Callithrix jacchus: one gene and its partners. The protein of the gene in region 2 purifies or fractionates together with the protein of the main gene of each other region. This does not show direct contact. Links are inferred from orthologs where the notes say so. Each region holds a gene or a part of one and is shown on either strand. Other genes may lie near its edges. The genes, in order: CDC37, HCK and HSP90AB1.

The links.
Region 1: the proteins of HCK (region 2) and CDC37 purify together in Homo sapiens (affinity purification with mass spectrometry; 3 studies listed by BioGRID and IntAct, with this or other methods). This does not show direct contact. The link is inferred for Callithrix jacchus from reciprocal best matches to the Homo sapiens genes HCK and CDC37.
Region 3: the proteins of HCK (region 2) and HSP90AB1 purify together in Homo sapiens (affinity purification with mass spectrometry; 3 studies listed by BioGRID and IntAct, with this or other methods). This does not show direct contact. The link is inferred for Callithrix jacchus from reciprocal best matches to the Homo sapiens genes HCK and HSP90AB1.

Annotation. Positions count from the first base shown.
Region 1 is NC_133523.1:9,582,139-9,585,421, forward strand, and holds the end of CDC37 (hsp90 co-chaperone Cdc37), read right to left. Parts: intron 2,875-3,283; coding exon 2,692-2,874; intron 2,592-2,691; coding exon 2,520-2,591; intron 1,158-2,519; coding exon 1,002-1,157; 3' UTR 584-1,001; downstream 1-583. UniProt on the Homo sapiens protein: Co-chaperone that binds to numerous kinases and promotes their interaction with the Hsp90 complex, resulting in stabilization and promotion of their activity. Inhibits HSP90AA1 ATPase activity.
Region 2 is NC_133506.1:7,101,853-7,104,308, forward strand, and holds the end of HCK (tyrosine-protein kinase HCK), read right to left. Parts: intron 1,081-2,456; coding exon 878-1,080; 3' UTR 556-877; downstream 1-555. UniProt on the Homo sapiens protein: Non-receptor tyrosine-protein kinase found in hematopoietic cells that transmits signals from cell surface receptors and plays an important role in the regulation of innate immune responses, including neutrophil, monocyte, macrophage and mast cell functions, phagocytosis, cell survival and proliferation, cell adhesion and migration.
Region 3 is NC_133505.1:52,710,560-52,714,807, forward strand, and holds the start of HSP90AB1 (heat shock protein HSP 90-beta), read left to right. Parts: upstream 1-1,359; 5' UTR 1,360-1,495; intron 1,496-1,979; exon of another isoform or gene 1,980-2,086; intron 2,087-2,381; exon of another isoform or gene 2,382-2,555; intron 2,556-3,511; coding exon 3,512-3,658; intron 3,659-4,248. UniProt on the Homo sapiens protein: Molecular chaperone that promotes the maturation, structural maintenance and proper regulation of specific target proteins involved for instance in cell cycle control and signal transduction. Undergoes a functional cycle linked to its ATPase activity.

The DNA of each region.
Region 1 (3,283 bases), on a different chromosome or scaffold from region 2:
TAGGTGTGGTGGCGGGAACCTGTAATTCTAGCTACTCAGGAGGTTGAGGCAGGACAATCACTTGAACCCGGGAGGCGGAGGTTGTAGTGATCAGAGATCACACCACTGCACTCCAACCTGGGCAACAGCTAGACTGTCTCAACAACAAAAATGTTGGAGGGCAGCACTGGCCATAGGGCGGAGAGATATAGCCCAGGATGCTGCCCCAAATGATGGTAGGAAGCTCTAAGGGGGCAGCAGGGGCAAAGGTGGGCGTGGGCAGGCAAAATTCGCAAAACCCTAGAAAACGTGACTTGGTTTACAGATCACTGCTGCCCTCTGGCGGTGATCAGCTTGGGCAACCCTGTATTCTGGAGGTCAAAGTAGGGACAGGGGAGTGGGTGGGTGAGAACTGAGGGTGGTAGGCTTCTAGGGCCTCTGGAGGAAGACTGTTCAAAGTGGTGGAGCAGCATGTGTGAGGCAAGGACCCACAACGGCTGGAGGGCAAAGGACTAGAGTACCAAGACCCAGCTTCCAATATTCCACCAGGATTCACTCCCACCCACAAGAGATGGGCTGCCTGAACAGCCCTCACAGCAGCCCAGAGCATCTGAAATCCTTTATTGGAACATCACTGCTGTTTGCCAAATAAAAGACACAGACAGCAGACAAACAGTGAAAACAGAGCCCAGTGACCAGAGCCGACCCCTTGGCTGGGGACCCTCCCCTACTACCTGATGGACCAGCCTGGCGACCTCTGCCCCTCCCCGGACCCCCGGGCCTTTGGCATAATGCTGATGGGGGGCTGCAGGCAGTGAGGCCCCTTGACTCAAAGCAGAGACTTGAATGGGCACTGGAGAGTGGGGACAGTGGAGAGGGCAGGGACGGTTGGGTGGGCCCCCCAGGCTGGGCCGAGCAGCGCAAGTGGAGGAGGCCAGGAGCAGGGGAGATGGCATCTATCTGTTTGCTGAAAAGGGGCGCATAGGGGCCTGCAAGCAGATGGTGGTGGCAGCTGGGGCAGGTCACACGCTGACATCCTTCTCATCACCTGTCTTGGGAACAGCTTCCAGCAGCGGGTCCCTGGGACCCGCCTCCTCCCCCTCCTTGGCCTCGCTGGCCTTAGAGTTCGGGACCCAGAGGCCGGAGTCAATGCAACGCTGCATGTGGTACTTTGCGTCCTGCAAGGAGAAGAGCAGGCAGGTGAGGCAGGGCTGCCACCTGGTGGCCACCCTGTTGTCCCCTGCACATTCCCAAGCTGGCTTCCTGCTCATTTTATTTTACTAATTTATTGATATAGAGACCGTCTCACTCTGTCTCCCAGAGTGGAATGTAGTGGTGTGATCTCGGCTCACTGCAACCTCTGCCTCCCAGGTTCAAGCAATTCTCCTGCCCCAGCCCCCAGAGTAGCTGGGATTACAGGCGCCTGTCACAACGCCTGGCTAATTTTTGTACTTTTAGTAGAGATAGGATTTTGCCACATTGGCCAGGCTGCTCTTGAACTCCTGACCTCAGGTGATCTGTCTGCCTCAGCCTCCCGAAGTGCTGCCCAGCTGGTACTTTAAATTTTATTTAACTTTAATTTAAATTTAGATAGTGCAATCTAGAAAAAAAGCCAGCAAATTTTTTTGGTAAAGGGACAGACTAAGTATTTCTGTTTCCGCAAGCCATATGGTCTCCGTCACGACTCAACTCTGCTGCGGTAGAGCAAGATCGGTTGTAGGTGATAGGGAAACAATTGAGCGTGGCTGCTTTGTTCCAATAAAACTTTATTATAAAAGATAGGCAGTGAGTCCTCGAGGTGCAGTTTGCAGGACCTGGTCTAGGTGGCTATGCCCATAGAAGCTTCTAGAACCTCAGGGCCAGTCCTGCAACTAGACCCATTTTACAGATGAGAAAACCAGTGTGGCCAACCAGTGAGCCAAGTGGTAGGAACAGAGTTAAAGTGTGTCCTACTTAGATTCAAACTCTATTACCACTTCCAAAATTATAGCCAGTGAGACCCTGTCTCTATAAAAACATATGTTTTTAAAAAGTTAGCCGGATGTCATGGTGTCAGCCTATAATCCCAGCTACTTGGGGAGGCTGAAGTGGGAGGATCACTTCAGCCTGGGAGGTCAAAGTTGCAGCCAGGGTAAGAGAGGAAGACCCTGTCTCTCAAAAACAAGCAGTCAAAACCCTATTAACATCCAGCATTTACCAGTCACTGCCATGTGCTCGGCTCCCCTCCCCAAACATTTTGTGGGCTGATATTGAGAGAAAACGTGGTCTGGATAAGGAAACTGAGGCTGGACGCCATCACAGCAACAGTGACTGTCAGTCACGAGGGACATGCACTGAAAGCTCAGCAATCATCTGCTGGATGTTGGGATACAGTAGGTGCTCAATAAATATGGGTGTATGCCAAGGTGACGTGACCCCCCCTGACTCCTTGGAGAAGCCTCGGAGGAGTACTTTCACCAGCCGGCTTCAGAGACTTGGGACCCAGGGCTGGGGGAGACACATTGCCTGCTGGAAAGGCATGGAGGGCCAGGGTTACTCACGGTGGGGTCCATTTTGCTGATGGCGTCTTGCAGCATTTGCACATCCTTCACATCGAAGCACTTCTGGAGTTCCTGGGGGTGCAGAGGAGCTGGGGTCAGGGGCTGGGTCCCTGTGGCCCTGGGGGTCTTGCTCAGGGCCCTCCTGCTGCCCGCCTGGCCTGGGGAACCGCACCTCCGGGAGGGACTCGTAGACCTCAACAGGGTCCAGGCCGCCGGGGCCAAGTCGCTTCTTGCGCTCCTCCTCCTCGTATTCCTTCATGGCCTTCTCAATGCGCAGCTTGGCACGGCCCCGCACACGCTCCTTGAAGGCTTCCAGCTCGTCGTTGAAGCCCTCCATGTACTGGCGATCCGCTGTCTACGGGGGTTGGGCAGTGCTCACTGGACCCAGCCCAATGCTCAGAAGGGACTGGGGAGCCCAAGACCCTCCAGCCGCAGCTCCTCAGAGGCGCTTCAGAGGCATCCCAAGTCTGTTCCTGACCTACATGAGGGGGTCCCTAAGTCTTGGGCTCCCCCAGCCAGGGACCTCATCTGGCATTTGCTAAAGACCACCTGCTTGGGAGCCCTGCTGTACCGCAGATGTGTGACACTCACGTCCTCAGTGTCCCTGCATAGGCGCCTCTAACTTAACATAGCCACCTCCCAGCCTCTGAGTGTCCCTCCAGCCTGCCTTGTCCTTGGTCTCCCCAATCTTGGTAAGAGTAGCCCTGTTCCTGCAGATGCACAGGTTAAAACTCTAGAGGCTGGCAGGTGCCTGTAATCCCAGC
Region 2 (2,456 bases):
TTCACCATGTTGACCAGGCTGGTCTCGAACTCCTGACCTCAAATAATCCGCCTGCCTCAGTCTCCCAACGTGCTGGTATTACAGGCATGAGCCACTGTGCCCGGCCCAGTAAGGTTATACATTTGTGTTGCCTTAAGCTACCAAGTGTGTGGTAATTCGTTACAGGAACAAGAGGAAACTAATACCAGCCAGCAACTATTTTAGGGCAGTTAGAAAACTTCACACATTGAACCCCAGTTTTCTCTCCTTTTTCTCTTTCTTTCTTTTTTTTGTTTTTGAAACAGGGTCTCACTCTGTCACTCAGGCTGGAGTGCAGTGGCACGATCAGAGTTCACTGCAGCCTCGACCTCCTGGGCTCAAGCACCCCCCAGCAACTCGGTGTCCCAAAGCACTGGTGTTACAGGTCAGAGCCACAGCACCCAGCCTGAACCCCACTTGCCTTTGTACTTCTGGTCCCTGGGAGAGTCCTTCACACTTTCTGACTTGTCATACAGCAAGAAGGCACATAGATATTTAGGAATTGGAAGGACAGGAAAACCAACCTTTGGGTAAAGATTTTGGCATTTATATCTTTTATTTAAATATTCATTTCACTATTTTGAAAGTTTCCCATCCAAACCACAGCTGTAACTGAAATCCAACCATTCCAGGAAACAGAAATATCAAGTGTGGGGCTTCCTGACAATGTCAGATTATGGATTGCTAGAGTCAAGAAGAGATTTTCCAGTCCAACCTACCCACTGGACAGATGAGGAAACTGTGGCTGAAGCAAGGGTGGGTGTCTGGGAGTAGGAAGGGAGCCTGGGCCCTGGTGGGTGGTGCTGGAGCCACCTTGCAGCCACCACCTGGGTGCCTGGCCCTGCCCTGGTCCTGCCCATCATGGCTGCTGTTGGTACTGGCTCTCTGTGGCCGTGTAGAAGTCATCCAGCACACTCTGGATGTATTCAAAGGTCGGCCGCTCCTCCGGACGGTTCTTCCAGCAGCGCGTCATGATGCTGTAGAGCTCCTCTGGGCAGTGCTCTGGGCGGGGCATCCGGTATCCACGCTCCAGAGCTCGGATCACTTCAGGGTTTGACATCCCTGAAAAGGAGACATGGAAGTAAAAAGGAAGCAGTTTGGAAACGAGATCCCAGAGGTGCCAGGCCCTGTGGCCTCGCCAGCAGCTGTCACTCCCCACCTCACCTTGCAAGCTGAGCCCCTCCCACTGTGAAGCCAGAGACTTCCTCCTCCAGCTTCACTTGCAGCTAGGACATGGGCCCGGGACATGGTTTTGGCCAATGGGAGCTGACAGGGAGGTCTGCTGGGAGAGGCCAGGAAAGGTTTTCCTCCCACTTAGAGGACAGTCTTTAGAGAACACACCCTTCGTCTCTTCCTTTGGACACTGTGAGATACTTATGATACTCGGAGCTGCAACCACCATCTTACCACACGGAGAACATCAACACAGAGACAGGAACCCAGAGTCCCGACTCAGTCCTGCTGAGCCGCTGAACTAACCAGTCACCAGTGCCAGAGGGGGAGTAATAGCTTGCTCTGTTTCAGTTACTCTTAGTCTGTCATTTTGTGGCTTGTAGCAGAACACATCCTTCTGGATTTGGCATCTACAGTGTGTTGTCTGGTTCTGCCTAGTGCCCTCTCAGGACAAAGCAGTCAGGTGGCCAGATTCAGTGTCACCCTGTGGGTGGGACCATTTTCTTGTTCAATTTAAGTTTTTATTATTCATAAGAATAGCTATTCAATGTCCATGATCCCCAATTTTATATTATTAGTTTCAAACTCCAAACTCAGGAGGCCCAGCTGTGTGGATCACTTGAGATCAGGAGTTCAAGACCAGCCTGGCCAACATAGTGAAACCCCCTCTCTACTAAAAATACAAAAACTAGCCACGTGTGATGGTGCACACTTGTAATCCCAGCTGCTCCGGAGGCTGAGGCAGGACAGTCACTTGAACCCAGGAGGTGGAGGTTGCAATGAGCTGAGATCATGCCAGTATACTCCAGCCTGGGCAACAGAGCAAGACTCCATCTCAAATAAATAAATAAATAAAAAGCAAAGCATCAGAAAATAAAGGTGACTGCAATTCTGACCCCTACTGCTGTAAATAAATGAACTCAAGTGCTTCCTTTACTTGTATGTCTCTATACTTAAGTCATCTCAAATTTAAGAGGGTTAAAATGGAGCTCTCCAATTTCTTTCTTTTCTTTTATTTTTTTGAGATGGAATCTTGCTCTGTAGCCCAGGCTGGAGTGCAGTGGTGCAATCTCGGCTCACTGCAACATCCGCCTCCCGGGTCCTGGTTCAAGCAATTCTCCTATCTCAGCCTCCCAAGTAGCTGGAATTACAGGCACGAGCCACCATGCCCAGCTAATTTTTGTGTTTTTTTTAAAGTAGAGTCGGGGTTTCACCATGTTGGCCAGTCTGGTCTTGAACTTCTGACTTCGTGATCCACCCGCCTC
Region 3 (4,248 bases), on a different chromosome or scaffold from region 2:
CCATCCCACAGGAGTGATTCCTGCTTTGGATTTAGGTCCTAGGAGTGAGATCACATCCCTGCTCCATTTGTAGAGCAGGAAGGGAGCTAGTGCAGCAAGGGCTCTGAGAAGAGGGACCCTGGGAGTCACTGAAGCCATTTTCCTGTTGATAGAAAGTGCACACTGACTTTCATCTGCTCACAGGACAGTGAGATTTTGTGAATGCTCTGTAAACTGGGGAGCAGATTTTTAATGAGCTAGGCCCCACTGCTTAGAAGGAGAGGGCATGTTAAAGGATCACACTCCCTCGGGTTTGCGGTTTTGGTCAGGAACAGAGCCTCCAACGCTCCTTCCTATAGACTTCTCCCAGCCATTGGCTTTTTGCAGACCATAAAGGAAGGGAGAAAGGACATAAAATCGGGGTAGTGATGGCGGGCACGTTGAGGTGGACAGTGGACGGGGACAATGAAGAGGAAAGCATGGGACTGCCTTTGTTTTTTGGTATTCAAAGCTTGTTAAGGAATGTAGATGGGTAACAGGGCTGGTGAGGGAGGACGATGTGGGTGGTCGTGGGGAAAACCCTTCCCAGGCATCCCAGGGGTGGGCCAGGAAGGGGAGTAGAAGGACGTCTACAAGGCACGGGAGTGGTTATTCTCTCCTGGAGGGGCTGTGGGTCCAGCAGGATTTCGGATGAGACCTTGGAAAGGCAAGGCAGCTTGCCAACTGGAAGGCAGGCAAAAGGGCTGAACCAGGCCAGACATGGCGGTCTGCAGCTCACTGGCCAGGGGCATGGCCTACCCGCTCTGACGCCAAGGCTAAAGGGGAACAACTTGTCCAGCCGCTCTCTGGCCGGCGTCGTCACGAGGCCTCCATGAGCTCTGACTGCCCTGCAGTGGTTCCTGGAGACTCCTCACCTTCCCATGTCCAAATAGCTGCAAGAGGGAAGTGGGCGGAAAAAAAGCAAAACAGCTTGGGAAAAGGCTTGACGTGCCTGCGTAGGGAGGGTGCATGTTCCTGTGCTCCGTGTACGTGGCGGCCGCAGGGAATGGAGGGGGTCCCTCCAGTAGCGACTCTGTTTCCAGTCTCAGTCTGCATAAGTGGACGCCCGCAGAGGCGCCCCAGGTGCCCGGGTGTTGTGTGATTGACTGGGGGAAGGAGGGGTAGGTCGATCCCTTCCTAACGCTCCATCCCATCCCCGAGGATTGGGCTAGTAGGTCGGACGGTCAGAGCCGGAGGCCGGGCAGAGTCGCCGTAAAGACTCTGCTCCCGCCGGGCAGCAGCCGGAGAGGCGGAGCCTCGCGGGGAGGGGGCGGGCGGGGGCCGGACCGCCGAGACAGACCTGGAAACTGCTGGAAAGGCCGCAGTGCCGCCACCGCCGCCGCGTCTTCCGCCGCGTGCCGGCAAAAAGTCCCCACCAGCCCCGGCCGGCGCCCTCTCTCAACGCTGATCTACCCACCGTAGCTAAGCCTCCGCCCTTCCTGTGCGCCTGGGAGAGTCGGATCTGTGGCTGCCCAAGGTTGGGTCCCGAATTCCAATTCTTTCTACCGGGATGCGAAATGTGTGGGGCAGATTCTAGGAAGAAGATTGCGTCTGGGAGCGGCGGTCGGTGTGGTTAGCCACCTCCGCTTTTTTTAGGTGTCCCCCTCCCCCAGCCCCGCCCTTGGGTGTGGGGACGCCTGCCCCACAGGTTTTTAGGGAGGATAGTGGGTCCTCGTTCGTAGAGACACTGCTTTGTCAAATGAGCACTCCTCATCCCCGCTCTTGAGCGGGTCATGTCCTAGACGTGCAGACATGGGGGCTGTGGTCACAAGCAAACGTGTGAGTGGACCCGCTGCTTGGGTTCTTCTCTGCCCCCTCCCTTATTTCGGACCATGACGTCAAGGTGGGCTGGTGGTGGCAGGTGCGGAGTTGACAAGGGTACTCCTTTAAGGCGGAGGGATCCGGGGGAGGGGGGCTGTGCTGTGCTTCGCCTTATATAGGGCGACCTGGGGCGTGAAATAGCTCTCTTGAGTCGCTCCGGCGCTGCTCTTGTCTGTGTGTGTGTGTGTGTGTGTTGGACAGCCAGCCCACCTTGCTTTCTAATACCTGTGAGCCTTTTCTTTTGAAGGTAAGGCCGAAGTCTCTGCCAGGTTTCTTTTCCTTCACTGCTCTTTCGTTTTGCTGTTTTCTTTTTCTGTTTTTAGGAAGCCCAGATGTCGGGGTGGGCTGTGGATAACGCCCTGGATTTTTACAGGGTGAGGGTGGTAGTAGGTGAGGGCTCTTGAGTTTTGCTCCGTTTTCTCTTGTGTGCTTGGGCGGTGGGCTTTTTTCTCGGCGGCTGCTAGCCGTGGCGAGGTGGGCTGAGGGGTTGGGGGAGTGGGCGGAGGGCAGCTGCACGTGGTGGCCGCGCGGCCCAGGACGCTGCCATTCTTGCTTCTCCACTTCCGGAGGCGGCTACAGGGCGCCGGAGGGGGACCGCAGGGTGGCGGGGGTGCTCGCATGGGGTGACTCAGCACGGCCCTGCGGGACTGGCCTCACCATCTCTCTTTACGGCCGCGTCGAAAGCCTTGGGTGCTTTGTTTCTGTGAGGGCTCACGGTGAGGGAGAAGCGTTTTCGGCCTCCAGCTCCCATATTTCCTCCTTCCAGATCTTTCTTGCAGTCCCCGTGGAGGAGGGGTGGGGAGAGGGCAGGGTCTGGAAGATTCTTGGGCTCCCTCCTCCGCCCCTCCTCGAGAGCTGAGATTGTTCTGGAAGCTTCTGGATTCTGGCGCCCCGCCCCGGTGCCCGGATGCTGGGGAGAAGGGAGGGTACATGGTGGCGTCCCCTCCTCGCGTGGCCCCTGCCGATGCATGTTCAACAGTGACGAGAGTCGGCCCGGTGGCTACGGCCACCATCTTTCCTGTGTTGGGTTTGGTCCTGTACTGTAATTCTGTGCTGTAAAGGGGTCGTGGTTGAGCTTTTGGTTTTTCGATTTTTTTGTCTGGATTTAATTGCTCCTCGGGCTGGTGGCCTACGGATCTGATTATTCCTCTTTGCCGTGTGGGGCAGAAGTCCTGCACCTTAGGCTGATTTTAGGAAGACACCTCAGGGGGACCGGTTTAACGTTAGTGCCATTTTAATCTTAAACTACTGGTTACTTTGACCTCCCCCAAATATAAAGAACCGTAGCTAGTGATTTTCACATTTAAATTTGCGCAAGGATTACCAGGGATCCCTAGATACCTGGGTTGGACCAGGATTATGAGTTTCTGCCATACTACCAGGTGACGCTGAGCCTGTTGGCCACCATTCTTTAAGTAACTGGGTTCTGTGACATTTGGTTGAAGAACATTGTAGCTTATTTTCTTTTTCCTTTTGATTTGGCTTCCCACTTAGTGTGTAGCCTGAGAGCTTTAAAGAGAATGCTTTTTTCGTCTCTTGGGAAGGGATAATAGTACTCAGCTTAAACCACCACTCAACTCACGTTTTAAGGTTCCAATGACAGGCAACCATTAGGATTTCTAAATATGGGGCCTTCATATTCTTTTGTAATTAATTACTATTTTTATTTTAGATGCCTGAGGAAGTGCACCATGGAGAGGAGGAGGTGGAGACTTTTGCCTTTCAGGCAGAAATTGCCCAACTCATGTCTCTCATCATCAATACCTTCTATTCCAACAAGGAGATTTTCCTTCGGGAGTTGATTTCTAATGCTTCTGATGTAAGTGCTCTGGTTTTCACATTTCATATATTTTAACATTCTGGAAGAAGGAGAGGGGTAGTTTGGCCTTTGTTGGGGACTACTGTTGAAGAGGTAAACCTGCAACTATTCCAAAAAGATTTGTCTTACTTTGTGGCCATTTTGAAGTTGGAAGGGACTATGTCCAGGATAAGTGGGTTGGTGTAACTATGGTTCTAATGCCTCAACATAAGGGGCAATCAGATTGAGGCTGACAGAAATACACCAAGATTTTCTTTGAAGATAAGGGCTTTAACAAAACAAAAGTGGGCGCAGTGGTTCATGCCTGTAATCCCACTACTTTGGGAGGTGGATCATGACTAGCCTGGAGTTCAAGACCAGCTTGGCCAACATGGTGAAACCCTGTCTTTACTAAAAATAGAACAACAACAAATTAGCTGGGCATGGTGACGAGTACCTGTAATCCCAGCTACTTGGGAGGCTGAGGCAGGAGATTCACTTGAACCCAAACCCAGGAGGCAGAGGTTGCAGTAAGCTGAGATTGCGCCACTGCACTCCAGCCTGGGCAACAAGAGCCAAACTTGTCTCAAAAAAAAAAAAAAAAAAAATTG